Linked DNA regions of Mus musculus. The protein of the gene in region 2 interacts with the protein of the main gene of each other region in a pairwise test. Links are inferred from orthologs where the notes say so. Each region holds a gene or a part of one and is shown on either strand. Other genes may lie near its edges.

Region 1 (5,472 bases), on a different chromosome or scaffold from region 2:
AGTTGTGGAGCCAAGTCTAAGTCGTGTGGAGTCAGTGCTGACATCACTGGCTTGTGCTGTCTGTCACATGTGTTTGTCTCTGCTGCTTGACCTCATGGGATGTACCCTCCAGTTCAACTGCCCAAAACAGACAGCCCCTTCCAAGCACCGTTCTTTGACAGCGGTAGCAGCTACCTATTCAAGACGCCTCACACAAAATCTGCCTTAGAAAGTTAATATATTTTAAATTATTTTAAAAGAAACTCAACATCTTATTCTTTGGCCTTTCTTAATTGATGCTTTATGGAGGCAGTGTTAACATTGTACAGTGTATGCATAGAGGAGTCTCCTCTATTTGAAGAACAATGCAAAATGAGGCTTTCATTGAAGGGAGAAAAGAGAAAAAAAGAAAAAAAAAACCTGTCTCTGTTCTTTTTTTCTCTCTCTCATTAAGAAGCAAAACAAAACGTTTAAACCAAACATAAAAGGAGTGCAGTAGCTGGGCAGTGATGGCGCACGCCTTTAATCCCAGCACTTGGGAGGCAGAGGCAGGCGGATTTCTGGGTTTGAGGCCAGCCTGGTCTACAGAGTGAGTTCCAGGACAACCAGGGCTACAGAGAAACCCTGTCTCAGGGGAAAAATTTTTTTTAAAATGGAAAGCAGGACACTGGTGGCAACTCTTCCACATGGCTGGGATGCTGCCTTCACTCAGCTTGAAACTTGGGAGCAAGCTCTCCATGGACAAGAAAGTCAGTTTCTCCCTTTGACAGCACACACTGAAAGCACCTCCCTGAGATGCATTTTACCCATGGTGCACCGGGTGCCCTCCAGTGCCCCTCATCCGGCCCAAGGGAAGTCTGGTCCCAAGGTAACAACAGTCTGAAGGCCTAGAAGGAATAGTCTCTAAGGAGTTCCCTGTGACACAGTGTGACACAGACATGCAGGTAGACAGCCCAGCACGGTTAAACTCTGAACACACGCTTTATTCTTCCTGTGAAGGACTTGGTAAAAACACAGCCCAGCAGTGCGGCAGGAACGTCTGCAGTGCCCCATTCCCCCCAACAAGTGAGGTGTGCAGTCTGAAGGCAAACTGTTGTAGTTTCTTTCCTATTTTCACAATAGAATTTGGAACCTGCTGGCAAGCCTTCTAAAAGTGGGAAAGGCCACTGCATTGTTCCTGAGACAGAGTCTGTCTCACTAGGCTGACCTGCAGCTGCCTGGCAATTCTGCCTCAGCCTCCTGGGTCCTGAGGTTATAGGCATGTCAGCACTTTGGGCAAAAGACTGATTTTGAAATTTTGTAATAAAATATTTGATTAGAAACCTACTAGCACCCATTTAGAGTTGGAAGACAGGACGCAACTCAGCTGCAGCCAATTTGTCATCCCAGTGACTGATAGTAAAGACTTTGAAGCAGCCCTCACCACGGGACAGGGTAGTTTCCCCTATAAAGACAAGCAGTGTCGATCATTATGGATTAAAGTTGCCCTGTCCATCCCTGCTCCAAACAGCCACAGAGAGCAGTACCTAAATGCCTGCAGAGAGACTTCTGTGACTGGGTTTATCCAGTGGCCCAGGGCAGCATGTCCTCTGTCCTCCAGTCACCCAGGGGCCAGGCCTCAGAGCTTCTAGGCCTCTGCAACTATCAGGTCTCTGGTGACTTGAAAAGCGGCGATGAGGGAGCTCAGCTGTATCTTCTCACTGGTGCCAACAGAAAGTCTGTACCTGGGAATAACAAACCCAAGTTGAGTATAAAGCACCCAGGCCCTGCCTATAAGGGTGAGAATGTGGGAGCTGCTATGGCCTGCCATGGAGGCACTGGAGCGGACAGACCCACCCTGGTTAGCACTGCCGTCTGTGTCCTCCAACGTTCTTCTCCCCAACATTCTCTTGGTTGAAGCTGCCGAGGCCGGATTAGAAACCCAGCACCAGCAGGTTCTGAGTTGCACTCGGCCCTCTACAGACAGACAGGGCAGGGTGCACAGGATGGAGGCTTAGGAACTGCTACAAGGAACTCTGCAGATTCCCCTCGGCTGTGGCACTGCAGCAGAGAGCTGCAGGTTCACTGAAGGGCAGTAAAGCAGGACACCAGCAGCTCATCTTGTCACTTGTCACTCCCAACACAGTGATAGGAAATGACCTACTTTGCCTGCATGAGCAAGTGACAGCCTATTGGAGCTTGTGATACTAGTATTTGGTTGGAGCCCAGTGTGCTGTCCACTTAATGACAGCTGCCAGAATCGCTGGGGAGTAATGACAGTGTTTACTGAGCTGGGCAAAGTGAAAAATTGAGTCTGTTTGTTTTTCTCCACTGGGCTCCTGTATGTCACATTGCCTTAATAAGTGGAGTAGCTGGCCATCTCCAGACGACCTGCATGCCCGGTGTGAGGAGAGCCAGGAGCTCAGCTCAGGCAGGGACCGCTCTGCGCTCATCATCCTCACACAGCCTGCTCCACAGTGCAGTTGGCACTACCCCACTACTTGTGTGAATGGCACACAAGCTGAAACTAAAGAGCTTACAACAGGAGAGGGGACAGCCAAAGAAGAGGGGACAGCCAAAGAACTGAAACTGGGAACACACTCACTCGATGTCTGCCATTTTGGTCAATAAGTGTATCCGAACTGAAGATGGAAAGTCAACTGAGGGAAAAACAGAATCAAATGAGTGAGATTACCTTGCGGGCGGGCGGGCCGCACACACACACACACATACACACACATACACACACACACACACACACACACACACACACACACGACTTCTGACAAGCCCAAGCATCCCTCAGACCCATGCATACAGATCATGAGACGGATGAGCTGATCGTGGTGTGGGCGCCACTGCTCTTTATCACACACGTGCTGGGGGCAGCTCAGGAAGTGTTCCATCTCCTATGCCACCAATAAAGACCCCACAAACATACATGGCCCCATCCCCAGTGGTCATAGAACATGAATAAGTCAGCATTGTCCACAGTGGGTGACAGCTATACACTAACCAGAAAGCTCATGTTACCCAGTTTTGAGGACAAACTTAAGCAACAGATTCCACACAGGCTCACAGTACTGGGGACCTGAGAGCCTCTCCATTTGGAGGTGGCGGCTGGGAGACAAAAGCTTCCGAAGGCTGGCATCCCCTCCCCACTCTGAATCATCTCGGGTGATTCTCAGGTTCTGCCTATGCTGAGACTGAGCCCTGAAATGAAGCAGGAAGCAGGAACTTAAAGGCAGCTTCCTGGAGACTGTCGAGTTTGCAGGAACACATCTTTTCCCCTTTGTGGGATGCATCTTAGAATGTGACTTAGAGGCTGGAGTCTGCTGAATGTCTAGGATGCATCAGTCCTGGGTACGGACCCCAGAAATAAGCTCAGTGGAGACAGCCCAGTGGTAGACCACATGTCTCCCATGCGCAAGGCCCTGGGTTCAATCCCTGGTGTGGGAAGCTTGTAATGAGAATGAAATGTACAGTACAGCCTCCACGGGCTCATTTCCACTAACCCTATCAGTTACAGATATTACAAAGATTTTGGACAGAGCCATTCAGAACTGCTCAAGATTAAGGGTCAGTCACTGTCTTCCCGTTTCTGCTCTGAGGCAAAGATGTCACACTCTGTAGCTATCCCAAAGCTGTGCCTCCTCCCGGCTCCACATAGTTACCTCTGTGTACAAACAAGTGAACCTCTGTCAGGATGTCATGCAGCGCCAAGCCCTTCAGAGTCTTCAGCTCCATGATGTCTGGGGAGGAGCAGCTAAGGGGAGGGGAAGCATTCCAGAACCTGCTGCAGGGAGGCTTCCACACCAGCCCCTAGTGGCGACCTGGCAGTTGGGCTCTTCATCCCAGGACAGTAGCAGCAGGCCCCATTCTAACTCGCCCCATGTGATCCTCAACATGCTTTTCTAAAAGGGATAGCCCCGCCTTGGCAGAGCAGACAGCTCAGAGGGTAACACAGCCGCCTGTAGCTTCTCATCTCACTGCACAACAAGGCAGTGAGTCCGCTTAGACTGTGAACGGGGAAGCTCCGGACAGCCATTGAGGAGGAGAAGGGCACTCTGCCTGGGGATGACACCTGTCACCTGGGAGGTATAGGTGCTGGCTGCAGCCTGGGCTTCTGGCCACCCTGAGCCCTAAACCTAGCAGCAGTTGCCCAAAAGGATACTTTTGTAGGCAGTGGTGAAGTCCTGATTGAGCATCCAGTCCAGTATATTGGCAATGTCCGTCTTGAGTGGGTGTCCGGTGCAGGTGTAGACAGTCTCCTCTGTCACCTTCCCAAAGGCCATATTGGTACTCTGCAGGAGGAGGGCCCAGGGGCTGTCAGCAGCTGCCCTGCCGCAGTGACAAGGCACAGGCCAAGCACAGTGGGAAGGAATCTTGAACTCTGTGCACTGGAAGGGCTGCCCTCTGCTGTGAACACTACAGCATGTGGCGCCCTCCCATAGCTTAGAGCAGCGCAGAGCCTTCCCATCAGAACACACAGGCAGGGAGCTAGTGCAGGCAAGGGGAATCTTACTAGGAGTCTGAATGAACGTGTGGACTAGCTGGCTGGCTTTCCTGTAAAACTATTTTGAAGCAATGGTTTAAGTGCCTGCAGTGTGACTGTACCTGAAGGATGTTCAAAGCCCTTCGCATGTCCCCACTGGACAGAGTGACAAGGGCCTTCATTCCATCTTCACTTATATCCACACTAAAAGGAAACAGGCAGAAGAGTTAACTAAAGCCCCCTCTGCAAGAGCACAGACTTCACCCACCACGTGAGCCCTGAATGATGAAGCTTCAAGGAAGGAAAGCACCAAAATGGAGGGGACAGCACTCTCCTGCACATCTAAGCTACTTGTGCTTAGGAACATGTGTCACATGAGTGGCCAGACCCCAGCCAGAGCTTTACTATGGACCAAGGCTTTAAGGAAGTGGCTGCCGAGAGACATTTCTGGGAAGAAAGAGGATATAGCTGGGCATCTCATCACCCAGAATGGATGTCTCAGAGCCTTCCCTTCTAGCCAGCTGGCAGCACGTACAAAAGGACTCAGCAACAGTCAGTTCCCACGACAAAAGAGAGGCGACAGCCTGCAGGAATATAGGTGGGGGTCAAGAACAATCAAAAGGGCTCAGGAGGCAGAACACCGAGGGCCCGAGCAGCCAGGAGGCCCCAGCCGGGGCTTTCCCTGCCTGCCGCTCACTCCCCAAACCCTCCCTCTTCCTTCTTGTAAAGCAAACTCACTTCTCTTCTTGTACTACATGTTCCAGTCGAGGGACCATGAGCTCGGGTGTCAGAGGGCCAAATCGGAACCTCGTGCACCGAGACTGCAAGGCAGGGATGATCTTGGACAGGTAGTTACAGATGAGGCAGAACCTGGTGTTTTCTGTGAACTTCTCAATCACTGGGAGAGAAACCAAACACTTCACGTAAGAGGACCCAGGGAAGGCTTAATGATACTAAGTGAGAAAGCTGCCTGTAGGGTAGAGGGTATTATGGGACATGGCAGGTTCAGCTTAACCCCC
Region 2 (5,913 bases):
ATGATACTAATCTCTCATTTTCTAATTCTGTTTGTCTTCTCAAATGGACATTCACAATGACCTTAATCAATGCTAACAGGTTATATAACACTATTAACAGATTACTCCAAAGATAAACTTTAAGAATTGACAGCTTATCATAATCTTCCTGCCTCAAAATAATAAGGGCACTTTACCATATTCATCTTTTAGTGCTTCTTCTCTGAGATCGGAGCTCTCAAAAGCAGCCCAGGCCGTTCTGGAAAACGTTAGCTTCCTGCCTCAATTTGCCAAGTACAAAAATTCCAAATGTGTATCACTGTATGTAGAATCTTTAGACCCCCTACCACAGCAATACAACTAACTGCAGGAATTCTAGACAAGGATGAAGACACCAGTCCAAAGTCTGCAATATAACTAAGCAATTCATTTTTTTCACCCGAGTCTTCATTAGCATATCTGTAAAGAAGAGAACAGAACTCAACAGTGGGGACGTATCCAGTCTTACTTTTTTCCCCTTTAGTTCTAGATACTGACTTCAGAGCCTAGTGTATACTATGCTGGACTGTGTACACCCCCAAAGCCTTTGAGGCCTTTACCTCCAACCCAAAACATTTACCATTTTAAAAACTGTATAACATGCATGAGGAGTGATAACATGCACAAAAAGCAAACACTTAAGGACCAAACAATGCCACATAATATAAAAGTTGTATTAATTCTGATTCCGCTTGTACAGGTTCCGATGGTGCCCAAGCTAGCTTTGAACTCTTGATCCTCTTCTTACCAAACGCACAGGTTACAAATGTGAACCCTCACTCTGTTTTATTATTTTATGCATCTGGGTCTTTTGCCTGCATGCATATATGTGTATCACATGCAGGCAGTGCTCATGGAAGCCAAAAGCAGCATTAAATCCTCTGGGACTGGAGTTGCAGAAGGCTGTGATAGCGTTTGAATGCTGGGACTAGAACCGGGGTCCTGTGCAAGAGCAGCCAGGCCATGCCAGGCCATATAAACAGTCATCTGTCCAACCCAGCTTTGTTTTTGAGGCAGGATCTCACTACACAGCCCAGGCTGACTTGAATTTGCAATTCTCCTGCACTGACTCCACAGTGTTGTTGGGATTACAGGTGAAAGCCACCACACCTAGCTTTCTTTCCCCTTTCTCTCTCCTATTAGTGTATATTCATTGTACAAAATAGTGGGTTATGTTAGTTTCAAAATTACATCATGTATTTTGATCAAATTTTAACATTTTCTTTGATATGCTCAACAAAACAAACAAACAAGCCCAGAGCCCTATACATGGTAAGCAAGTATTTACTGTACTACATACACCAATACAATCTTTACAGGCATAACCTTTTAAAAATAAGTTTAATCCAAAATGATTCTGTAAGTTAGATTTATCTGTATGTCAAATTTGATATCTGAATTTCATAGTTTCTACACTATTTGATAATCAGGAAGCTTATTCTTTAAAGATAAAGCCAAAGCTTTTTAGCATTTCTCATGAATACAGAACAGTAGGTAAAAGCCAAAAGAGAAACATAAATACAGACCTGTTCTGTGAAGACGAAATAAGCCATACTGGATTTTACAATAAAAATTACTGATAAGTGGATGTTCATAAATACCAATTGCAAATACTTATGTTGATATACATCTATGTGAGCTTTAAAACTTTCTAGAATAAGATCAAACTTGTTTATAATATTCAAACATGTAAGGCACAGGAGAAAAGCAAAGTTTAGTTTTCCATCCGTCTTCTTCAGAAGTAACCAGGGTTACCATTTTTTTTTATCTCTTTCATGGATCCATGTGACCCAATCCAAACAGCTATATAAGCTTATGTTTCTGTGTCTGTAGGTAGAAATCTATCTGACCTAAAATGTTTTCCATTCTTAAGTTATGGGGAAAACAATCCCTGACTCAAGTTTCACATACATGTTTACTACACTGAAAATGACAGAAATGTTAAATAGAATATACTTAGATATTTGCTTAGAGGTTATATTGAAGCAACAGGAGTGGGGTGGCCAGGGAGCTAGAAAATCTGAATTCTAATCTAACTAGCATGGCTAGCATGGTAACCTTACACAAATCATGAAACCCTGAGCCTTAGTTTCTGCTTTGTAAAACAAAAGAGTTGAGCTGAGATCCTTCCCAGCTCAAAAATGCTATAATTCTAAGATGGCCGGCTCTTAACAGTGTTCTCTTGAAACTGGCTACAAAAAAAAAAAAAAAATCCTATTAAGGAGAAAATGAGAAGAATGAAGAAACACTGTAGAACTTTCCAGTCTTTAAAAAAAAAGACATTTCTAGGATTCATTCACTATCAAGGTATAGCTAGGATGTCAGAAGTAGTGCCATAATTGTACTTGAAGGTAAAGTTGTAGATTATTACAAACTGATAGGTTTAGTCTTCCCCAAGGCTTATGTTCTCCTTTTTGGAGATGGAGTGAGCCACTGCTTAGTTTCAGCAATCACCACTCCCTTCCTCCCTCCCGCCCCTGCTTAAAAGAAAAACACCCCACAACTCAAGTAAACTGTGGAGTTCAACGGAGTTAAAGTAATGGAACTGAAAGTCATAAGTGACATTTTTTTCTCTCAGAAATATGCTGGGGAAGTGACCAAGGTGACAAAGAGGCAAAAATTACCAGCTACTTCCTCCTCTGGAAGCTCTTTGGCCCTCATTCTTTAGGGTTCACATGCCCTTGCCAGAAACACACCACCCTGCCCCATACAAGGTATCGAACTGGGGGGGGGGGCAGGGAGGTTGATCAAATCTTTTTTTTTTTTTTAATTATTTTAACTAGATTTACCTTAGGTGTCACGAAGTTTAAGGAGGCTGACCCGAAGGCTTGAAGCCAGCCCCCCTACCCACGGCTTCCAGGGGCAATCCCGGGGAGCCTGGATAGGGAGCCCAGTCCAGCATTCCCCGCGGGCGGGCGGGCGCGGCCTTCCCGCCCAACTAGGCAGAGCTAGCCCAGGCGGAAGGGAGGGGGAAGAAATGGAGGGAAGGAAAAGGAGGGAGGGAGGAGAAGGGGGGGAGAAGGAAGGAGGGGGGAGGAGGAGGAACGCGGGAGGAGGGAGGAGGAGGGAGGGAAGAGCAGAGCAGAGGAGAGGAGAGGGAAGAGAGGGGAGGGGAAGGGAGGGGAGGGGAGCAGAGGGAGAGGAAGGGAGGGCGGGAAACCCACAAGAGCTGTACCCACCGCGCCAAGCACTCCAGTCCTAACTAAGCGCCGCGGGCGACGGGTTCCCGAGGGGAGGGTCCCGGAGGAGGGGCGGCCCGAGCCCGGATCAGGAAAACACAACTCTGCTGGGCGGCGGGCCCCGGCCTAGGAGAAGGAAACGGAAGTCACTATGTCTGTCTCCCTCCCTTCCTTCCTCCCTCGGCCTTCCCAGGCAGGACAGTCCCATCGGATAAAACTCGAAGACCGGAACCAAGTGCATCCACGTCAGGACTTTTAAAAAAAAAAAAAACTCAACCGGTGCAGCCCGCCAGCTTCCCGGGCTCGCCCAGCCACTGGCCTCAGGCCATGTCCTTCCCACCGCCACCCCCATCCCCTCCCCCGGGAGCTCCGCTCCCGCCCGGCAGAGCCCCTCCTTCTTTCCCACTCCGCCATCTTCCAGCCTACCTCTCTGGCCGAGCGGCCCTCGATTAGCGTCGCGCCCGCTCGGGGGACCGCCAAGGTCCCGCCGCCTCCCAGAGCCGGAAGGGGACATCGAGAAAAACCCCAGTCCTCATTATGCAGCCCAACCCCCCCCCCACCCCCCAACCCCCGCCTCCCCAGCTCCAAGCCAGAGCCTGACCCAGCGGCTGCACATGCGCACAGGTCACTTCTCAGTCCCCGCCCCCGACTCAAGCATTTCCTCTTTTAGCATCCAGGACTTTTTCTCTCCCCCCTCCCCACCGCCCCCCAGCTTTTACCTGGACTCTAGGGTGAGGAGTAGGGGAATACAGGTAAGAAGATTAAAGACCAAGGGGAAAAGGGCACAGTACATTGAGCTCTCACAGGATACCAGGGACTCTGCTAGGTATATAACATATTCCTCAATGTTATTTTGAAAACCATGGAAGGCAGAACACCTCTATTAAATTCCACCCTACAGAGGAAACTGAGCCCCGGAGAAAATAATTATCCCAGTATCACCCACCCGACAAAAAAGTAAACTGAGATTAGAGAATCGGTTGTTTCCAAATAGAGGAAGCTAGAAGGAATGACGAGACAGGGAGACAAAAAGAGGGTGAGAGAAATTTGTGAAGAACAAAGAAAAATAATAGAACAAAGATGGAAAAGACACAAGAGAAGATTATACAAAATGGTGATCATGCTATATGCTTGTAGGGTTGTCAGATAAACCTATACTTAGGTTTCAGGAACTTTGACTCTTAATGGCTAGTGTACTAAGATGGATTGGGTATATTTAAAAGGAGAAGACCATGGGCACCATCTGCCTGGTTAAATAATGCTGTCCTTGATGAAAAGGAACTTGGAAGAGAAGACAAAGAAATGTATTTGGTTCTTCAACTTTTGCCAATGTAATATTCCTTCTAATGCAATCTTTTTTAAAAATTATTACATTGTCTTACTGTATGAGGTCAGAGGGCAACTTGAGTCTGTTCTCTCCCAGCATGTGGGTTCTAGGGAAGAACTAATGTCCTCAGATTTGGTGGTGATGCCCTTCCCCACTAAGCCATCTGTGTCCCAGGCCCCCTGGGGTGTACTCTTACAGCTCTGAAAATTGCATCTGACTTATTACAATGAAGGTAATTCCAAGCGAGGGCTGGGAATGAGGCTCAGTAGTAGATCACTTGTCTAGCACATACAAGGTTGAATTCAAACCCCACCACTGCCAACAAAACAACTGCAAGCAAATACTGATCTCACCTGTCCAGCACTCTTAAATAAGCAAACCAACAAAGCTCCATCTTTATCAACAGAAGGGTCAGAAGTTCAAGGCCATCCTCAATAGGAAGTTTGAGGCCAGTCGGAGATGCAAGGGACCCTGTCTGGGAAAAAAAGAAAAGAAAAAAAGTCCCAGGCTACCCTCATTTGTCTTGATATTGTCCACCATCAACTCATTTAGAAGAGGCTGAAGTCGCTTGTACCTGTCTCTGTAGGAGCTGAACAGTATGACTCAACCCTAGGTCTTTCTGACCATTGCCCAGTCTGATTTCTCTGTTCTTAGGCTTGCTCCGCCTCCCCCCCACCCCCATCTAGCTTGCCTGAGGCTGAGTTAAATCTTTCCATTTTGACTTCAGGATAAGAGTTAATCATCTTAGCCTTAATTAAGTTCACTCTCCTCCAACACAGTGCTATGGTGTCTTCTAAGGGAACTATTTACCCTGCCCCAGCTCTTACCAGTTTGCCTGCCCTCTAGTAATTTATTGAAACTAATTTCCTTACCTGAAGATTATATTTTCTCAGTCTCTGTAATCTTTTATTCTTTAAACTTAAGGTGTCATTATAGAATCTTTATTATTGTAGTTTTGGGCTTTTTGTTTTGTTTTAGTTTGTTTTGTTTGTTTGTTTGTTTGTTTTGAATCTGGGTCTCACTAAATAGCCCAGGCTATCTCAGAAGTCATTGTGTAGACCAGGTCAGCCTGAAATCAATGAACGTTATGTAGCAGTCTCTGACTGCTAGGATTGCAAGCTCCAGCTATGTCACCTAGCTTGTACTGTTTGGCTTGGATTTTTTGAATCAAGACCTCATGTATCCTAGGCTGGCTGCAAACTTGCTATGTAGCCTAGGATGACCTTTAATTCCTGTTCGTCTTGCCTGAGAATTGGGATTGTTCCACCACGTTTGGTGAGATAAGGTCTTGATGTGTTATGTGTAGTCTTGTCTGGCTACATATTCCAAGCTGGGCTCAAATTCATGGCAATCCTCTGCCTTAACATGCTGAGTGCTGAGATGAGCTTA
Region 3 (5,971 bases), on a different chromosome or scaffold from region 2:
TTCCCAGGATTAATGGCACAGGATATTAGACTGCTAACGGATGTGTCCAAATATGACTTCTGTCTGGGCCTTGGGTCTGAGAAGGCTACAAGTTTATCCTGAAGATGGATTATGAGTGTGTCACCAAATTCAGACAGGAATGGAGAAAGCTTAAAAAAAAAAAAAAGAAAGAAAGAAAAGAAAGAGGAGGGAGGAAAGAAGGAAGAAAGGAAGGAAGGAAGGAAGGAAGGAAGGAAGGAAGGAAGGAAGGGGGAAGGAAGGACAGACAGAAGATTTACCTGGGTGACAGAACTAAGCTAAGAACTTAGGAGATCATCCACTCAAAAACTTCAGAACCCTTTACAGAAACCCAGACCACCCTCAATGGCCCCTCCACAATCCCCCTGCTCCAGAGCCCCAGTCCTAAGGATCAGCAAACTCCCAAGTATATGCACTTTGCTGCCTATGATGACATCAGCAAAAATTAAATTGGATAAATAAAAACATAGAACAAGGCCTATTTTTACCTCCGCAAGTCACAGGCCAGATGGGGAGGAATCTATCAATGCCAGAACCGTGGCTGCGCCTCCCTGTACCATCTATTACTTCACACCTTACATTTAGGCATCGCATCGCAAAGCACTCTGCAAACGACACTCCTGCAAGGGAGAGAGCAACCTTTTCCTGTTAGTGCTGGGCAGGCAGAGCCCCAACCACGCAGGTCCTTACTTACACACAGTCCTCTTCTGAAACACCAGAAACGGAAGTAAATGAGGAAGTGAACTGGTGGACCCAGTTCTGAATGACAGGTGACAAGGAGTCTTTGCAGAAGTGATTGTGTCAGAGATTCAGAACGGAGAGTAAGGATCTGAGATCACTCTCCATCTCCCTACAAGGTCAGGGGCTGGGCTCTTCCTGGGGCCATGTCCAGCTTTGTCTCCAACCTATATCTATGTGTTTATTTAATCAATTTATTTATTTAAATGGGATCTTGGTGTGTAATCCTGGGACATGTGGTAATTGCTATGTAAATCCAGGCTGGCCCAGAACTCAAAGCAATCCTCCTGCCTCAGCCACAATTATGGGCGTGAGCCACCACACCTGGTTGTAACCCATATCTAATCTTGAATGATTCACCAAGTCCTCCACCCTCACCTCCCTCCTTGGTCCAACCTGAAAAGAGGAGAGAAATATTGTATTATTCTACTTTTGACAGTGGTTTGACCATCCTTGGCACTTGGAAAGTACCTTCACTCTGGTGGCTCAGCAGTCTTTGGGAAGACCTAGCCCCAAATTCTAGAAACAGGCTGGTCTGCAAAACATGGCCTGTCATAAATCGCTGGGCTTTACAACAGGCCAGAAGAACAAAACACAATAAAGGTAGCCAGCCCGTCCTAGAATCAGAGCTACGAATTTAAATCCTGACTTTGCCATCTATCAACTTACCTGGACTTTACAAGTTCATGGGGAGACTATAGACTCTGTCCAGACAAGTCTGGGTTCAAATTCTGGGTCTACCGCTATTCTATAGCCTCTCTGTGTCCCAGTTTTTTCATCTACAGAATGGACACTGTAACAGTGCTCATCTAACAGTGTTGGTGGGGAAAAGGAAAAATAACTTCAAACTTTGTGCACCAAGCCCAGCACAGGGTGCATCCTTAATCATGGGGGACCGGGGTCGTGGTGCTACCTTCCCAAACTATGCCAGCCAGTTCATCTCTGCTAGTGTCTGTTTCCTCGTATAATAGAGACAATAACCTCTGACTTATGGTGAGCCCTAATGAGGACAGGAATGTTCAAGTCCTCAGTGCCCAGGCTGTACAGCTTAGGAAGTCAAATGTCAAGTCCTGGGCCCAATGAAGGAGGAAGGCCTAGAAGGCAGGCAGGTGGCTCAGACTTCGGCTACTACCCTTTCCCTGGTGGCCTGGGACACAGGTTTGATTTCTCTATGAGTCAGATGCCTTGGTCACAAACCCAAAAACAGAGTGGAATCCAGGAGAGTTAAGGACCCCAAGAACCTCTCAGCACACAGTAGGTACTCTGTAAACGATTCAGCTGCTTACCCTCTTCCTTTCCCACACCATATGCCACCTGGGAAAGCCAGCATCTCCATTTCTGGAAACCTAAACAGCTCTAAATCCTGGACAATGCTTAAGTCTGAGACTTGGGCTTTTTAAAAGACAGCAAATGACTTTTGTAGTCATCTCTGAAGCAGACGGGGCTCGGAGGCTCACAACCACAGGGACCATTTTAAATCCCGGGCCTTTTCTTCTGGGAAGTTAAGCAAGAACCTTCCCAAATGTTTGCCGTGGGGCCCTCTGCCAGAGAGTGACTCACTCCTCCGCTCCCCACAGGCATATTTTATTTGGGGGTGGGGGATCCAGGGAGAGCCTGGCCCCGGTGGGGGAGGGGAACAGTTTCAACACGTCCAGAAGGTGGGGATATTTTTTCTTCTCCAGTTTTCGGGACAAAGAGGAAAAAAAAAATGAACATGGGTCTTTTTTTGTTTCCTTCCAGGTTTTGTCTTCTGGACGACGATGTCCAAAGTTCACTGGTTAAGTTTCTCCTGTTGGGAGTCAGGCACCCATTCAATGAAATTCTTCTCCCATTAGCAATAGGGTTTTTAACATGCCCTTTTACACACACCAGGCTCCTGTGAGGACATTTTCCCCTCAAAAAGTCACCCTGCATTTTGCAAGTGGAGTGAAACTTTGTACATAAACTTTCTAAAGTTTGCTCTAACGCAGTTAAAACTTTCAAACACACATGCACAAACTGTCAATCAAAACTTCACGGACAGCCCTTAGAGGATGTGTCCCAAGCATGCTGTCACCCATTTGTTATGGCCCTCTGGGGCTCGGTTAAATCAGGGAAATATGATTAACTTAGAGGAGCAGGCAGAGAGGACAAGTATCTGGGGCCCTGGGTCTCCCTAGGGCCTAACCCCTAGGTATGGGGAACAGAGTCCAAATCTGGCCTAGCTAGAGACAGCCACGAACAAAGCCAGGGAACTAAGACATATTTAGAAAACCTCAATTCAAGTTCAGCGCAGCCCCCTCCTCAGCCTGCGTGGCCATGCAGAGTTCTGCCAAGGCCGGGCTAAGAGGCTTCCAACCAAAGTCAGAACCTGGGGATCTGCGGACTCACAGAATCCGGCCCAGCACCCTCTCTGGACAGGGTCAGCCGGCACATCACACACACACCGGCCTGCAGTGTGGAGTGCACAGTCTGGATCCTAAACACACTCTCGTATGGAATTTGTACACTTTTGCCCGTGCACGTGTGCACACACTCACTCGGGAACGTTCAGACACGTGGGCACACGTACTCCTTGGCATCCACGGTAAACACTCGATAAACGGATAAACCGAAGCCGAGCCCGTCCACCCGCACTGGTCCACCCCAAACTCACAGCCCGGGCCCCTGATGTGCACACGCACGCACTCCCGCGCAGCTGGGCGGATGGAGCCCGCCGCGGACACCTCGGCCTCCTGCGGGCGTCCCCGCCGACTCCCCGGGCACGCGCGCGCGCCCACAACGCCTCGGGTGACAGTCCCACGCCCTGGCCCGCGCCCCTCGCTGGTCCCAGGCCACTCACCGGCGCTGGCGGCTCTCTCGGCGGCGGGCGGAGCGCGGGTCACACGCGAGTTGGCGGCGCTGCGGCCGCAGCTAGTCCGCTTGGTTCAGCCGCCGCTTCTGCGCGCGCCCGCGCGCCCGCCCCTCCCCGCCGCGGGGCCGCGCCGCCCCCTGCGCCCGTGCGCGCGGCCGCCACGCAGGCTAGGGGGCGCCGGGGGCGCGCTCCCAGCCTGGGTGCCTGATCGTCCAACTCAGGTTGGAAGACTGAGCCTCAGACTCCAAACCCTGGGCACTGAACCCCTCTGCGCGGGCTCTAGACTTTATAAGATGCAGATTCGCTGGGTAACCAATTCGTGGACCCTTCCCCACACCCATGGATTCCTCATCAGCTGACATTGCTCCTCTCACAGCCCTCGCAGGACCGAAATTGACCCATTCACAGAGTGCAGCAGGAGGTGAAGTTCAGTTGATAGCATGCTTTCCTAATCTCAGCACTAGGGAAATTGGGCACCTGTAATCTCTGAATTAGGAAGGCTGAGGCAAAAATGTCTGAAATTCATTCATTCTTGGCTATATAGCAAATTCCAAGCCAGCCTGGGCTACATGAGATGTTGTCATTCATATTATATATATATATATATATATATATATATATATATATATATATATATATATATATATATATATGTATATATGTATATATGTATATATGTATATATATATATATATATATATATATATATATATCAGTGTGTACAATAGTACAGTGTACAAATAGTGCCCAGTACAGTTCCAGAAGTAGGCACCTAGGATAAATCCAAGTCCCTGCCCTCAAAGTGCCAGTATCTCCTGGGGATACTGCCTTCCTGGGAACTCCAGGCCAGCCAAGCATCAGTGTGCAGAAGGTTTTTAGGAGTAAGTGGGCCAGCCAAATACCCAGGAGCCTGGGGGTGGGGGTGGGGGTGGAGGTGGGGGGAATGACCTGAGTTTGATCCTCCAGACCCACACAATGGAACAAAAGAACTCCAGCAAATTGTCTTTAACCTCCCCATGTCTTCCAAATTCACACCAAGTGTTGTATGTTAAAAACAAAAAACAAAACAACAACAACAACAACTGCCTTCATCTATGCATACTTAACAACCCCACTAGGATGTCCAAGCTTCTCTGGGGAGCAATTAAGGTGACTCCCACTTCCCCTCAGGAAGGGATGCTCGTAGCTGGGACAGGTATTGCTGCTTCTGAGTGTTCTAGACTGTCTGTGTGCCCAAGCACCTGCCATCTGTCCATTAATCTGCTGTACATGTCTGGGCACGGGATAGCAACCTGCTGAGTATTCAGTTAACTAGTCTACTTGAGTCCACAGTAATCAGGCCCACAACCTATATTACTCCCCCTGCCTGCCTCATGATGTTCAGCCATTGTGAGGGTGGCATCATGCCACCCATGTGCCCATTTCTTAGATGGCTTTAATGAGGCCTGTGAGCAAAGTCCCCCAGGTGGTGAGTGGTTGAACTGGAAGCAGATGACACAGATTTCTGGTCTCAGCAGCTTATTGCTAGGCAACCTTGTTCTAAGTAAGAAAGGCATGGCCACCAGCCCAGAGCAGCCAGGCTGGTCCCTGCTTCTGAGAGGAGGGAACTGGCACCAACAAGTTATCTCTAATGTGCACACATACACTGTGGATTGTGGCATGTGAGGGCACACACGAATAACTGTTGTTTTAAAAAATGAAAGCTTAACGCCCACTCTAGGAAATCTGAGTTTCTCCAGGAAGCAGACAGTAGGATAAATAAGGTTAAGCAGGCCGGAGGCAGGAGGACCAGGGCTGCTTTCTAAGAGGCAATGAAGAGTGGAGGTCTCTACTGAGGAGCAGAAGTCTTTGGAGGAGAGGGTATGGTTAGGGGCCTGCTGTGTTCTGACTGGGTTCTCTGCTGTAAAAACTGTCCTGGCAGAACAGCTAAGGAGCAGCGTCAGATCACTAGAAAGGACTTTCCCCAGCCTTGCTGAGTTCACAAACACATGCAGTGTCTTCATTTTCAGGAAACTGAAGCTCAGAAAGGCCAAACAACATGTCCCAGGTCTCACAGCCAGTGATGAACCTTAGAGGTCCGGCTGTAGGCAAGCGGTCGTTTTTAAGTGTTAAGAGAATTAGGGGCCCAGCTCATATACCACCACACATCCAGTGAACTATAATGCAGGAACAGGATGGGTGGGGCTTACATAAGGCATCTTCAGTCTCAAGGGATAGGCTGGAGAAACAAACCCACCCTTCTCCCGACCTTCCTCCTTCGCACCCCTACTTCCTTCTCTTTGGCTATGGACCATACAGATGGATTGCAGGCCCCGCTGACATGCTGTGACATAAAATCAAATTTAGTCAGCTCCAAGACCCTCACCATTCCTGCAACACCCA
Region 4 (5,921 bases), on a different chromosome or scaffold from region 2:
CCTCTTCAGGTCAACATTTCAAGTTTTGTCTTACCCTAATACACTTAATTTACCATGGATCTTAAGTATTTACCTTACATGGAGCTCACTTCCTGTAACAGCTAACCACCAAAAAAACTCCACAACAAAAGCTTATGTTCTCAGAGTTCTAACTACTCAGGATCAATGGACCAGGACCAGCTAATTCAGGCTGTGGTAAGGTCTCCTGGCTAGAAGAGAGTCACCTTCTCTCTACACAGTCCCATAAAGAAGGGACTTATGACAACTGTATAATTCCTAATAAAGACAAGCACCTTCTGAATGGGGAGACATTTATGACCTCATTTAGTCTTACTAACACACAGGTATTTGGGGTTAGGATTCTGATATGTACATGCAGGCTATAGTTCCATCTATCCAGAGCTGGATTCTCAAGTAACCCTGGCCATAGTGGACCTGAACTTCTACTCCCATGGCTTGGAGCAGCCCACAAAACACATGATCTCAGCCAGAACCATGGCTGGATCTAAAGTGGCAGCAGCTAGGCACGAAGCTATTTTGCTATCAAAGGAAACACAAATCAGACATTTCAATGACAACATATAGTAAGTACGCACCTGAGCACAAGAGTTGCTAGTAACTCACCTTAATAAACTGGATAATTCCATCAGGAACTCCAGTCTTACTGAGCTTTCTGAGGTACTCAGTAATGTCACTGGTTTGCAGCCCAACACTGACCGCTGCATAGAGGGAGTAGGCGGTTAGCTTGTATTCATGTACATGAGTAGGCCGGCACACCGGCTCTGCAATTGCCACCAGGAAGTCTTGGGCATATTTGTAAACTGGAGAGAAGGCTTCCAAGAAAATGTGGCCATCAGGAGCCTAAAAGGCATCAAGGGAACACAACAGGCAAGAATATCAATGAGCTGCAGAGACTATGTCACAGGATTTCTGATCACACTGCGAACCTGAGACTGTGTTATTTACTAAAAAAAAAAAAAGGAAAGGAAAGGAAAGGAAAGGAAAGGAAAGGAAAGGAAAGAAAAGAAAAGAAAAGAAAAGAAAAGAAAAGAAAAGAAAAGAAAAGAAAAAACCTTCTCCTAGTTGTATGGCTCAGCCTTCAGCACACACCTTTAATCCCTCTGGCCAGAATACAGGCATGCCTTTAGTTCACACCTTTAATCCCAAACAATAGAGGTAAAGTTAGTTTGCAGAAGGAAGTACCCATGTTTGAAAGTGATGTTTAACTGAGTGGCAGAAAAAGTGACAAATCAGAGAGACTTGATAGGAAAGGATACGCCCAACTCTCAAAGGTGAGAGAGGAAAGGGAAGCTACTTAAGGGAGAGACAGGCAGTACAGGAGGAGAGAGTCCAGTACAGCATACAGCGGAGTTCATGGAGAGCAGTACAGTAGAGTTGAGAGTGGAGCAGCACAAAGAGGGAGAAGGAGGCAGTTTTACTGGGACAGTTATAGAGAGAGTGCAAGCTAGATACAGTGAGAACAGAACAAGTCAGAGAATGAGAAGGAGCCAGAAGATTAGAAGAGATTCCTAAAGTTAATATGAAGCCAAGCAGTGCAATTCAGGAAAAGCCAAGAGAGAAGCCAGATTGAAGCAGTCAGCTTGAAGAGGAGTCTGAGCCAGAGCAGCTGAGTTAAACTGGCCAGTCAGAGCTCACAAAGAACTAGAAAGGGCGAGCTTATTCAGCTTCAAGTCTCAGAGGAGGGAAAACATTCCAGGCCTAGGTTAGATTACACAGAGACTAGAAGCTTCCAGGACTAGGCCTAGGTTAGCAGACAGGCGCAGTAAGCCTCCAGACAACAATTATGTCAGGTGAATAAGGTGACTCTTACACCACTAGACTGTCACATCACTATCAAGAAGGGTGAGTGTCCAATGGGAAGGATATTCTTGCAATCAATCCTTCAGGAAACTGCAGGGACCCTGCTCCTATAATTAGAGAAGAGTAGGCAGAAAAGGTTCCCAATGTTCCATATATGGAAATCTTCCAACATACTATTCTCAAAAGGCCTTTTGGCTAGAATGCAAATTGAGTACAGATCATGATGTATTTTAAGCCAAGGAAACTTAGCTACCAAAACATTATCTACCATCAATTTGAAAAGAACCTAAGAGATGGATCAGTGGTTAAGAGCACTGGCTGCTCCTGCAGAACACACAGGTTCCATTTCCAGCACCCACATCAGACAGCTCATAACAGCCTGTCATTCCAGGCTTGGGGGATCTTACGCCCTCTTCGGGCCTCCTCTGGAAACAAGTATACACACACACATACATATAAAATGTTAAAAATCTTTTTTAAGAAGTGTAAATCAATTGTCATCTAAAACAACTATTTAGTGGCTGGGGAGCTACCTTGGTGTATAAAGTGCTCGCTCGCATGAGGACCTCAGTTGCGATCTCCAGCACTTAAGTATAAAACCAGGAATGCATGCCTACAACCACAGAGCTGTGATGGCTGGAGATAGGTGGGTGGGCGGGCAGGCAGATTAAGTTGGGGTGGGAGGTGGGGGGCATCGCTGGCCAGTAAGTTTAGCCAAAACAGGGAGCTGGGCAGATATGTGAAGAGTGACTGGGAAAAGCATCTCACATCAGTCTCTGGGCTCTGTAAACAATCCCTGCACGTCTCTCTGCACAGGGTATGCACATATACCACCCAAACAGATAAATGTCATTTACTGACTGTATGTGGGGTATGTGCGTGTATGTGAGTGCATGCATGTCACCGCTCTAAAGTGACTTGCCAGAGTCGGGCCTCTCCTCCTCCTATGACAGCAAGAGCCTTTACCTCCTGAGTTATCTGGCTTGTCATCATATGGGGGGCTGGGGTGAAGTGGAGAACACCAGATCACACCAGCTACTCCAGTGTGCCCCATGACAGCCGTCTCTCCCGGCTGCTTCAGAAAGAGCAGCATTTCTCACGTTTGAATTTTGGAGGTGTAAGAATGTCCAAGATTTAGCTGCCGCGCAGGCTTTTTGGCCATGCTTACCACCCAGAGGGGCCTGGAGGTATGGTCACCCTTTAGTGGCATCTGCTGTCTGTAGTCCTTTGCTCCATACTCATCCACTTTGGTGCTGGACTCGTCCACCTGTTTCCCAGCGGCGGAGGGCACCGCCTCCTGAGACTCGTTCCCAGGAATGTCGTCTTCGTCTTCCTCTTCCTCTTCATACTGCCTCTTCTTGGATTTCTTTTTGTCTGCGACCGAAGACACAGAAGTGAGCCCAGCAGGATTCTAGGGTTCCTTTTTCACCACCCAAGGAGACTTCTGGCAAGAACTCCTAAACCAGCGCCACCCGCATACCGGCGTCCGGCAAACGCCTCCCACCCGGCTAAGTTCCGCATCTCCCGGACACAACAGGCCAGAGAAAACCCCACGACAATGACAGTTACAAGTAGTGCTTACCGCGGTCCACTCGATCTCTTTTGCCCATAACAGCTCTAGATGCAGGCAGGCCGGCACACCGCACCACCTCCTCTCCGCAGGAGTTACTTGCTAATGAACTTCCGGTACATACCGGAAATACAGCACCAGACGGTCGGAAGTCCCGCCTCTGAAGTCTTAAACCGGAAGAGCGGAACCACAGGGCCGACCGGAGGCGAGCTGCGCTTGCCTGGAGTGTTTACTTTCCGCTCTACGATTTGTTTTGAGCCTTACGTACTTCTAGGAGCCTTGAGCTTATTTGCCCTATAGATCGGGCGGGACGGAGATCTGCTTCCACCTACGGAGTGCTTTGTTTTGGTTTTTGAGGCCACTGCTTAGATCGCTAAGGAAGGTCGGACCTGGGTGGTTCCCTCAGGCTCCCGGGAGCTGGGATTACAGGCGTGTTCCACCACGCCGGGTTTCTGGAAACGAAATTCCGAACGAGAGAGGTGGGAAATACACATCGTTCTGACGTAAATAAAAATGGGCAGGTGGCTCATTTGGTAGAATTTTTGCCTATGTCGGAACCAAAGAATAATCTTGGTGTCTCACCAAGGATAGCATGAAGAGTACCTCAGCAAGGCAATTCTTTTTGGAAGAGAGTGTAGCAGAACCCAAAGGGACTAACACTACATCAGAACAGGCAGTTGATGTAGTTTTTAATTTGTTAGTGACTTTTCCCCATTGGCTAGGGTCAAACCTCACAGCCTTCCAGATCTTTGGTTTGTTGTGGGTGTTTTGTTTGTTTGTGTTTTCTTTTCTGAGACAGGGTTTCTCTGTATAGTCCCGGCTGTTCTGTATCTCGTTCTGTAGATCAGGCTGACCTCGAACTTGAGATCTGCCTGCCTCTGCCTCTCGAGGGCTGGGGTAAAAGGCGTGCACCACCACGCCCCTCCCTGCTGTTGTCCAATTTTAAAAGAAGGCAAAGGAAAGAGAGTCCACTGCTTTGAGCCTTCAAATTCTGGACAGCTGGCTGCGGGGGTGTGTGTGTACATGTGCAAAACAATTTTTCCCCTCATATCTAGCAGGTTCTAGCCACAGAACTACATAAACCAAGTGTGGTAGATCATGTCTAATTGCATCACCTGAAATCAAGAAATAATGTTACACGTTTTCAAAAAAAAAAAACCAAAACCAAAAACAGTAGTAGAGTGATCTTGGAATAGGTCTAAGTAAAAGAAATGAAGATAGTTTCATTCTGTGTTTATTTTAATGAGAAATGGATAGGATTTGCCAACTGGGATAATACGGGATTTGGGGAGGAAGAAAGAGTTAACACCCAAGATTTTTGGTTTCAGCAACTCATAAAATGATGTACCTTAGGCAGAGTTCATATTTGGAGCAAATCAGATGTAACTGGCAGTTACAAAGCCTGCTTGCTGTTCTATAATAAAATGTCCCAGGTGGCATGATTTAAACAGCAAAACTTAGATAAGAAATTAGAAGGGTAAGAGAAAGGGACCAGAAAAGAGGCAGAAGGGAAGACAATAACAAGTATGCCATATGTATGAAAATGTTATGACGACACCCTTTCCGCTAACAAAAAAAAGCAGATGAGCAATATGAAATTGGATTTTTTTTAAGAGCTGGGAAGATAACTTAGTGGGTTAATGTACTTGCTGCACAAACATGAAGACTTAATTTTGGGTCCCTAGAGCCCACACAAGCCAAGCAGGCATGGCATTACACAGCTGTGATCCCAGCACTGAGGGGCAGAGAAGAATCCTTGAGGCTCACTGACCAGCCAGTCTAAGCCATGAGCTTTAGACTTAAGAAATCCTGTTGCAAAACTAGTAAGGAGAAGTGGAGCTGGGGATATGGCTCAGTGAGAAAGAACTAAGAGTTTAAAGCCAGGGCTGGGCTGGGCTGGGGCCAGAGCGATAGCTCAGTACCTAAGAGCACCCGTTGCTCTTCAAGAAGTGGCTGCTTGGCTTCCCAGCTCCCACAAACAAATTCAGTTCTATGGGATCCAACGATTTCTTCTGACCTTTACAGGCATCAGTCACACATGGGGGACATGCATTCAGCAAAGCACTCAACTCACATAAGTAAGTCTTGACAAGAATTAAAAAACAAAAACCGCAAGGTCCCTGGAGCAAGCCAAATCACTGGGCTCTGGATTCAAGTGAGAAATCCTGCCTCAATATAGTTGGAGAACAAATGAAAAAGGCACGTGGACACACACCAAAATAAATGAGGAAAACGATAAGACAACCGACATCACCCTCTTATATCAGTGGGTGTACATATGCATGAAGCAAGCAAGCATGGAGGAGTGAAAGTCAGCTGTCTGGATTTGTGAACTCACTTTCCTTTGTTTATATTGCTACTGAGTCTGTATTGAAAAGGGATCTAGTGTCTATGAGTGGCCCCTTCTTTGTACCTCCACTTTGCACTTGAGGAACCTCTTCTGGCAACACCCAGCTTTGGGTTGTATGGGCTAGGCAGGTTCTCACACTCTGGAGACTTCCCAGATCATACCTCCTAGCCTAGATGGTTT
Region 5 (6,144 bases), on a different chromosome or scaffold from region 2:
TTAAGAGTAAAGCACTGTCTTCCTGCTTTCATGAAGTCATCTCGAAGGGCTGCCTGAATGGTTAAAAATCTATCCACTTCTAAGATACAAGAGATAGATCACAAAATAAAAGGGACAGAATTCCCATCACTTTGTGCTTTGCTCACTTATGTCTGTCATTTACAGAGAACACCCTCAGAGAGAGAGAGAGGGAGAGAGAGGGGTCCACAAAGAATAACCACTTATTGCAATTACATTACTTATATAGTTGACAAACATCCGCTATTACGTGCTAAATTCCTAAGATCATAACCATATAAGGGGTCAAATTAGGAAAACACACCAGATTAATTTTAGTAGTGGCGCCTTACTCACTCAGCCACCTTATTATCCCAATTAAGTTAAAAAAAAAAAAAAAAAAAAAAAAAAAGTTGAGACAGGGCCTCATATGTGGCCCTGGCTGTCATAGAACTTACTATGTAGACCAAACTGGCCTAGTTCACAGAGATTTTCCTGCCTCTGCCTCCTAAGTGCAGGAATTAAAGGCTTGCATCAGCATGCCCAGCTTCGATCAGGTAAAATTTAAAACTTCTAGTTTAAAAGGAGTCTGAACAAAATGGCTAAATACTAAATTTGAAAATATGTATGAAAGTCAGACTACATGTTTCATAACATGAAATGAGCTATAAGAAATGGAAAAATAAATATATATAATACAAATACATACACACATACAGTTAAAAAACCAAAAATGCAATTTCAGGGTTTGGCTAAAGTTAATATACCAGTATTGTTAAACTTTACAAACATTTCAGAATCACATTTAAAAAGTAATAAAACAATTCTCTTGCAGTATATAAGGAAAGTTTTAAACTCATCTTCCAAGTGCTACTAGCACTGAAACCTATTTTCTGAATTAACAAAATTAAGTTTATGTCTATTTCTTTATCGTCTACCATTTTAAGTATTGCCGTTTAGCAAATCATTCTTTTAAGAATGAATTCTTAGGGCTGGAGAGATGGATCAGCAACTAAGAGTGCTTGTTGATCTTTCAGAGGCCCCAGCACCCACATGGTGACTCCAGTTTCAGTGGGTCTAAAGCCATCTTCTGGCCCCTTCAGGCATACACAGACATACATGCCAGGCAAAACGCCCATGCACATAAAACTAAAATATATCCAAAAAAGCTTTTTCTAAAGGAAGAATTCTTAAAATATTATCTCACTTGGTGATTTCTGACTTTGCTTGTAAAAGAACTAGTAGGAAGCATAGGTGAGGCAAAATGGAAAAGGATGGATCAGGGTGTGAAACGCATCCCACTGAACTGTACCCAGATGAATCTAGCAACAGCAGCTTCCCCACAGCACATGGGCATGAGAACAAAACCCTGTATCCCTCACCTTCCTAGCCAGCTTCCGGGCTGGGCTCTTCCAGCCGCCAACATCGTCATCTATCTTACTGTACTTAGTGTGAATGGAAGAAAGTTGAGAAGCACTGGCAGGATGCATGACAGCAAAGTCAGACACAGTGGAACAACCTGCAAGCCCAGGACTCAGGAGACCCAGGCAGGAAGAGCGCAAATGTGAGGTAAGCATAGGCTACCCAGCAAGAACCGGTTTCAATGAATGAAGATAAAACACATAAAAGCAAGCTGGGCAGTAGTGGCGCACACCTTTAATCTCATCCAGCACTCAGGAGGCAGAGGCAAGTGGACCTGAGAGTTTAGGGTCAGCCTGGTCTAGTTCCAGAAAAGCCAAAACAAAAACATAAAGGTAATTATAATCTCAAAGTCCACATTCTCTAGTTAGAAGTGAAGACTTTCCTTACTTGGTTTTACTATATATAAAAATTATTTCATTGTTACCAAGTAATCAAACCCCACATTACATATGTATGCATGTTTTTAAAATACAGCAGCTTAAGTAACCTTTTCTTTAGCAAAAACAATATCCCCTAGGGTAAGATGAATTAATGAACACATTTGATCACTTATAGTGTTATGTTAAGTTATTTTGAAAAGAGTTAACTTCTGCTGTAAAGATGGTCAGGAAATAAACTTTGAGCAAAGATACCAAATGAAAACCACACCAAAGAGTGATTCTGCTATTGAGCTGAGAGCCAGTTCAGAAGTTAAGAGAAAGAACTACTCTTGAGAAGACCCTGGTTTGATTCCCAGCACCCATAGCCAATACCTGGCAAGCACCTGTAACTCAGATCCAGAGCAGGTGTGGCCTACACAGGTACTTTCATACCCACATACCCACCCAGAGATAACATACACAATTAAGAAATAAGAAATAAATCTGTGTCAAAATGCTACTATTTCCAGGAAAAATGATCAGATACTTTAAAAGAGATACATATAAAAGGTCAAGATTTAACTTTAGAACAGAAAGGATCCGTTCCCACTCTAATCCAACAAAAGAAAGACGCTGCTACTCTTCCACAGCACTGCCTGAGGCATAGAAACAGGCATAAAAAGCACTTTCCCCCACTGCTGAAGACAAAGTAAATTCCAAAAATAGCAATCTCTTACAAACAAATCTGCCTTTTCCAAAAACTAAGTATAAAAGCTAACCAGCTCTCATGCCAGATACAATCCCAGTGTGGATTTTAATCTTCATTTTTAGTCTTAAATAATGCCTGTATCTTAAGACAGATCACCGTCAAGTGTTAGTAACAAATAATGTCTTAATACAGATAAAAATCTTAAAGCAATCATATAGCCCATCTGCTGTCAACTGATGTTCCACAGTTCCTTTTTTGGCCTCAAATGATGAAACTTCTCTAACGTCTCTGGGGAGACTAGTAAAGTATAACGTTTCCTGAAATTGTTCTTGTTTCACTGCACCATTTCGTGACACCTCTTCACCTAAGAATGCTACTGCAGGAAAGGCCAAAAGTACAAGCAAATGCAAAAAGAATACCATAAGGAAAGCTGATTGAAGGAAGATACAGGGGAAGGAGGGAAATGCGTAAGAATGCAAACCATTGCTAGCAGAGAAGCGCCAACAACGAGATCTTGCTTATTCTTCTAGAAACAAAAACCAAAAATTCTAAGGAAAATGCGGATGTTACTCGAGGATGATGTTAAAACTCCAAAAAGCGTTCCGCTGACACGCTACAAGAGTTCTACTCTCTCTTCCTATGTGCTTTAACACCGCTAGCCCTATCTGCAAATTAAATGCCGGCTATAGATAATGCAATCTCTAGAAACTACAATTGTGGTTGCCATCTTTGCCTGAAAATTTTTTCTTTTATTGGATTTGCAAGGGGGGGGGGGAATACATTAAGTTGGAAGCTACAAAAAACACCTTCAAGTCTGACAGAGCACAGGTTAACAGGCGTCTCCTACCAAACTAAGGTTTTAAAGGTCTGGGAAAGAAAGGCAAAGGAGCCACGGCCTTACCAATCCCGCAAGGGTGGGGCATCGCAAGAAAAAAAAATTTAAGAGGGCGAGTTTCTATCGAGGCCGAGGAGCAGGCCCACGAGCTCGCACGTTGTGGTAGCACAGGACGCTGGGGACAGGGACGAAGGGCGGCTTCGAAGAAGAGACGTGGGCTGCCAGGGAATGCCCAGAGTGCGGGCTGATAGAAGGAGGCACCCACCGGGCACCGGATGAAGATCAGAGAAGAACGAGCATGAGTCCGGCGATCCGAGGCTGCGCGTGGGAGGCCGGGCAGAGGCCGCGGAGCGCCGTGGGCAGGCGGCCGTCCTCGGCGAGGGGCTCTGCCGGTCTCCGGCCGCCCCGACCGCGGGTGACGGCGGCGGGCACAGCTGTTTCCACCCCGCTGGGGAGCGCGAGGGGAAAAGCATCCCGGCGGTGGCCAGGGAGCCGAGCGGCAGGCATCCTCGCGTAGGGGCGCGGAGCGGAGCCCCCACCGCGAAGCGCACGACGAACTTCGCCCTTTCTTCCCCCTAAGCCGCCTTTATGCCACAACTTCGCGGCCGCTACTGTCCGCGGCCACCGGCCGACACCCCCGCTCGGCTCGCCGCCAGGCGATCCCCCGACGCCCCGAGGTCAGGGAAGGTCGCCCGGAGCCAGGCCCAGAGGTCTCGGACGCCGACCCCGCGCAGACGCTCACCTCGTCTCGATGGCCCCCTCGCCCTCCCCGCTGCAGCAGCTCCGCTCACCTGCATTGACGCCATGATGAAACCATCCCCCCAAGGCCAGCGAGGCCCGAGACGCAGGGGGCGGAGCCGCCGTGCTCGCGTCACGCCGCGGGGGCCCAACATCCCGGGCACGGGGGTGGAGTCGCCGATGGGAAGGGGCCCGCGTGTCCGATTGGCTAGCGCGCGGGTGCCCGGGGCGGGGCGGGGCGGGGCCAGGCCGGGCTCCCTAGGTACCTTGCATCCCAGCCAATTTATACGCGGGCCCACCCTCAGTGCTGGCGGAGGCGCTGCTCCAGGTCGGACTGAAGCGTTATGCCGAGGTCACAATGCTGTCCGGGCATTTGGCAGGGAGGGGATCTCATTTTGTTTTTCCAGCTACAAGTGTAAGATTTACAGCCCACCCCCTTCATATGTCTTTTTTACACCTACCGTGTTTTCGCTCCTGAGGCAGATACAACTTCGCCTGGAGATGCTTTCTGGTATTTGCAGACCTAGGAAGCTTCTACTTTGAGGGGCAGAGAGTCACAGGTTTCCCTATAGGACAGAATGAAAACTGAGAGCAGTGATCTTAAAAGCAAGAACAATTGGATTTGAAACGTGCTGGAAAGGGAAGGAGGGTGAATAATGGAGTTCCCTTTTGTGTGCAATTTTCTAGTTCCCTAACCCTCTAAATTGTAAAGTCCAGGTATACCATAAGAGTCGTTGTTACATCAGTCTTACTTTTGATTAACAATTTGACTCTAGCCGTGAAATCTCAATATAATGAATATAGTTTACGTAATTTAATACTTAATACTTAATACTTAAACCTTCTGCCATGCCTAGATTTCTCTTCACCCTATTCTGTGGTGGGCAGTTGCATGATCAGACGACCTATGAGTGAGCTTGAGTAGAAATCGCTGAGCATACAGAATTTATTCTAGGAATGCACCAGTTCTGCCAGCATTTATCAGAAGTCACATTTTTAAAGCTCCTCCGGAACCAAAGATGTCGTTTACTTAAATACCAAACGAAAAATGGAAGCCAAAAGCTTGCACCTCATGTCCTGTCTCTAAAGGAATCAGAGAGGATGGCATGTTGAGTAGAAGGCTTTTACTTTACCCGGATGAAAGTTTAAATCTTTATTTTTATTGACTTGGCTTCATTTTTAGACATTTCTCTAAAATATAAATATAATGGTGATGTAGGTTATCACTCTCACACTTAAGCTAGAGCACGATGTTCCTCTGAGAACATCCGTAAGGAAATGTGTTCAAGAGAGGAAAAGATGTCTAAATCTGCCAGTTTTTCTGTGGTGTAATATTCAAGACGGTTTCTCTTCACCATGGAGGAACTTTTCCATGGGGTTTGCATGACTTGGAGTACAGGACTCAACCAGAAGCATATCCGCTATCAGTTCAGGTATGTCGTTACCATCACAACATGGAACAAAGTGCCCACATAGCCCAGTGATGAGGTACGCTTACAGGAAAGAGTCTCCACCAGGCCTTCCAGAGATCTTTGTCCCTGTGATCTCAGGCTGTAATGTACCAGCTAATGTTCATGTTGTTTTAAAAGTTGATTCTTCTCAAAGGTGTAAATGACAAAGGAGACTCTACAAACATGGCATTATGACCTCATCAAAGTAAATGGCCTACTAGACAAGGTACTCAGAAGGAAGAAAAGCAATTACACCTTGGTGTTGCTTACAGTAGAACTAATGTCAGGTTTCCACCTCACAGGTGTCCAAGGGATCTTCACGGGAGGCAAAGTCACATCCTAGGAAATTCTAAGCAGCTCATAACTACCTATCGTCTTTATTCTTTAATTAATACATAATAGGGTCTGGGGTGTATAGTTCACTGGGAAAACCTGTGGTTAACATGTAGGAGATCCTGGATTTGATCTCTGAGTACGGAAAGCAAAACAAAAGGCAAAAATATATAACAGACTGTTCGCCGACATACTCAGGAGCAAGGAGTGATGTAGAGGCTATTTTCAGTGAGAATAAGTGTTCCTAAAGCTCTTGACTGCCCGTTATTTGATGGAGATACTCACATTTTTTTCCCAGAA

What was found.
Region 1: the proteins of Xiap (region 2) and Rfc5 interact in binary tests that used the Homo sapiens proteins (3 or more experiments, as listed by UniProt). The link is inferred for Mus musculus from reciprocal best matches to the Homo sapiens genes XIAP and RFC5.
Region 3: the proteins of Xiap (region 2) and Nek6 interact in binary tests that used the Homo sapiens proteins (3 or more experiments, as listed by UniProt). The two-hybrid records come from large-scale screens. The link is inferred for Mus musculus from reciprocal best matches to the Homo sapiens genes XIAP and NEK6.
Region 4: the proteins of Xiap (region 2) and Ercc3 interact in binary tests that used the Homo sapiens proteins (3 or more experiments, as listed by UniProt). The two-hybrid records come from large-scale screens. The link is inferred for Mus musculus from reciprocal best matches to the Homo sapiens genes XIAP and ERCC3.
Region 5: the proteins of Xiap (region 2) and Ube2w interact in a two-hybrid assay, tested with the Homo sapiens proteins (2 studies listed by BioGRID and IntAct). The link is inferred for Mus musculus from reciprocal best matches to the Homo sapiens genes XIAP and UBE2W.

The regions. Positions count from the first base shown.
Region 1 is NC_000071.6:117,378,204-117,383,675, forward strand, and holds the end of Rfc5 (replication factor C subunit 5), read right to left. Parts: intron 5,352-5,472; coding exon 5,192-5,351; intron 4,658-5,191; coding exon 4,576-4,657; intron 4,263-4,575; coding exon 4,133-4,262; intron 3,711-4,132; coding exon 3,633-3,710; intron 2,619-3,632; coding exon 2,564-2,618; intron 1,704-2,563; coding exon 1,607-1,703; 3' UTR 942-1,606; downstream 1-941. UniProt on the Homo sapiens protein: Subunit of the replication factor C (RFC) complex which acts during elongation of primed DNA templates by DNA polymerases delta and epsilon, and is necessary for ATP-dependent loading of proliferating cell nuclear antigen (PCNA) onto primed DNA.
Region 2 is NC_000086.7:42,065,767-42,071,679, reverse strand, and holds the start of Xiap (E3 ubiquitin-protein ligase XIAP), read right to left. Parts: upstream 3,845-5,913; 5' UTR 3,624-3,844; intron 3,530-3,623; exon of another isoform or gene 3,324-3,529; coding exon of another isoform or gene 3,198-3,323; exon of another isoform or gene 2,808-3,197; intron 439-2,807; exon of another isoform or gene 177-438; intron 1-176.
Region 3 is NC_000068.7:38,509,400-38,515,370, reverse strand, and holds the start of Nek6 (serine/threonine-protein kinase Nek6), read right to left. Parts: upstream 3,675-5,971; 5' UTR 3,578-3,674; intron 3,496-3,577; exon of another isoform or gene 3,392-3,495; intron 794-3,391; exon of another isoform or gene 713-793; intron 639-712; exon of another isoform or gene 613-638; coding exon of another isoform or gene 507-612; intron 1-506. UniProt on the Homo sapiens protein: Protein kinase which plays an important role in mitotic cell cycle progression. Required for chromosome segregation at metaphase-anaphase transition, robust mitotic spindle formation and cytokinesis.
Region 4 is NC_000084.6:32,237,904-32,243,824, reverse strand, and holds the start of Ercc3 (general transcription and DNA repair factor IIH helicase subunit XPB), read right to left. Parts: upstream 3,499-5,921; 5' UTR 3,432-3,498; coding exon 3,404-3,431; intron 3,196-3,403; coding exon 2,990-3,195; intron 862-2,989; coding exon 625-861; intron 1-624. UniProt on the Homo sapiens protein: ATP-dependent 3'-5' DNA helicase/translocase. Binds dsDNA rather than ssDNA, unzipping it in a translocase rather than classical helicase activity. Component of the general transcription and DNA repair factor IIH (TFIIH) core complex.
Region 5 is NC_000067.6:16,615,124-16,621,267, forward strand, and holds the start of Ube2w (ubiquitin-conjugating enzyme E2 W), read right to left. Parts: upstream 4,129-6,144; coding exon 4,114-4,128; intron 1-4,113. UniProt on the Homo sapiens protein: Accepts ubiquitin from the E1 complex and catalyzes its covalent attachment to other proteins.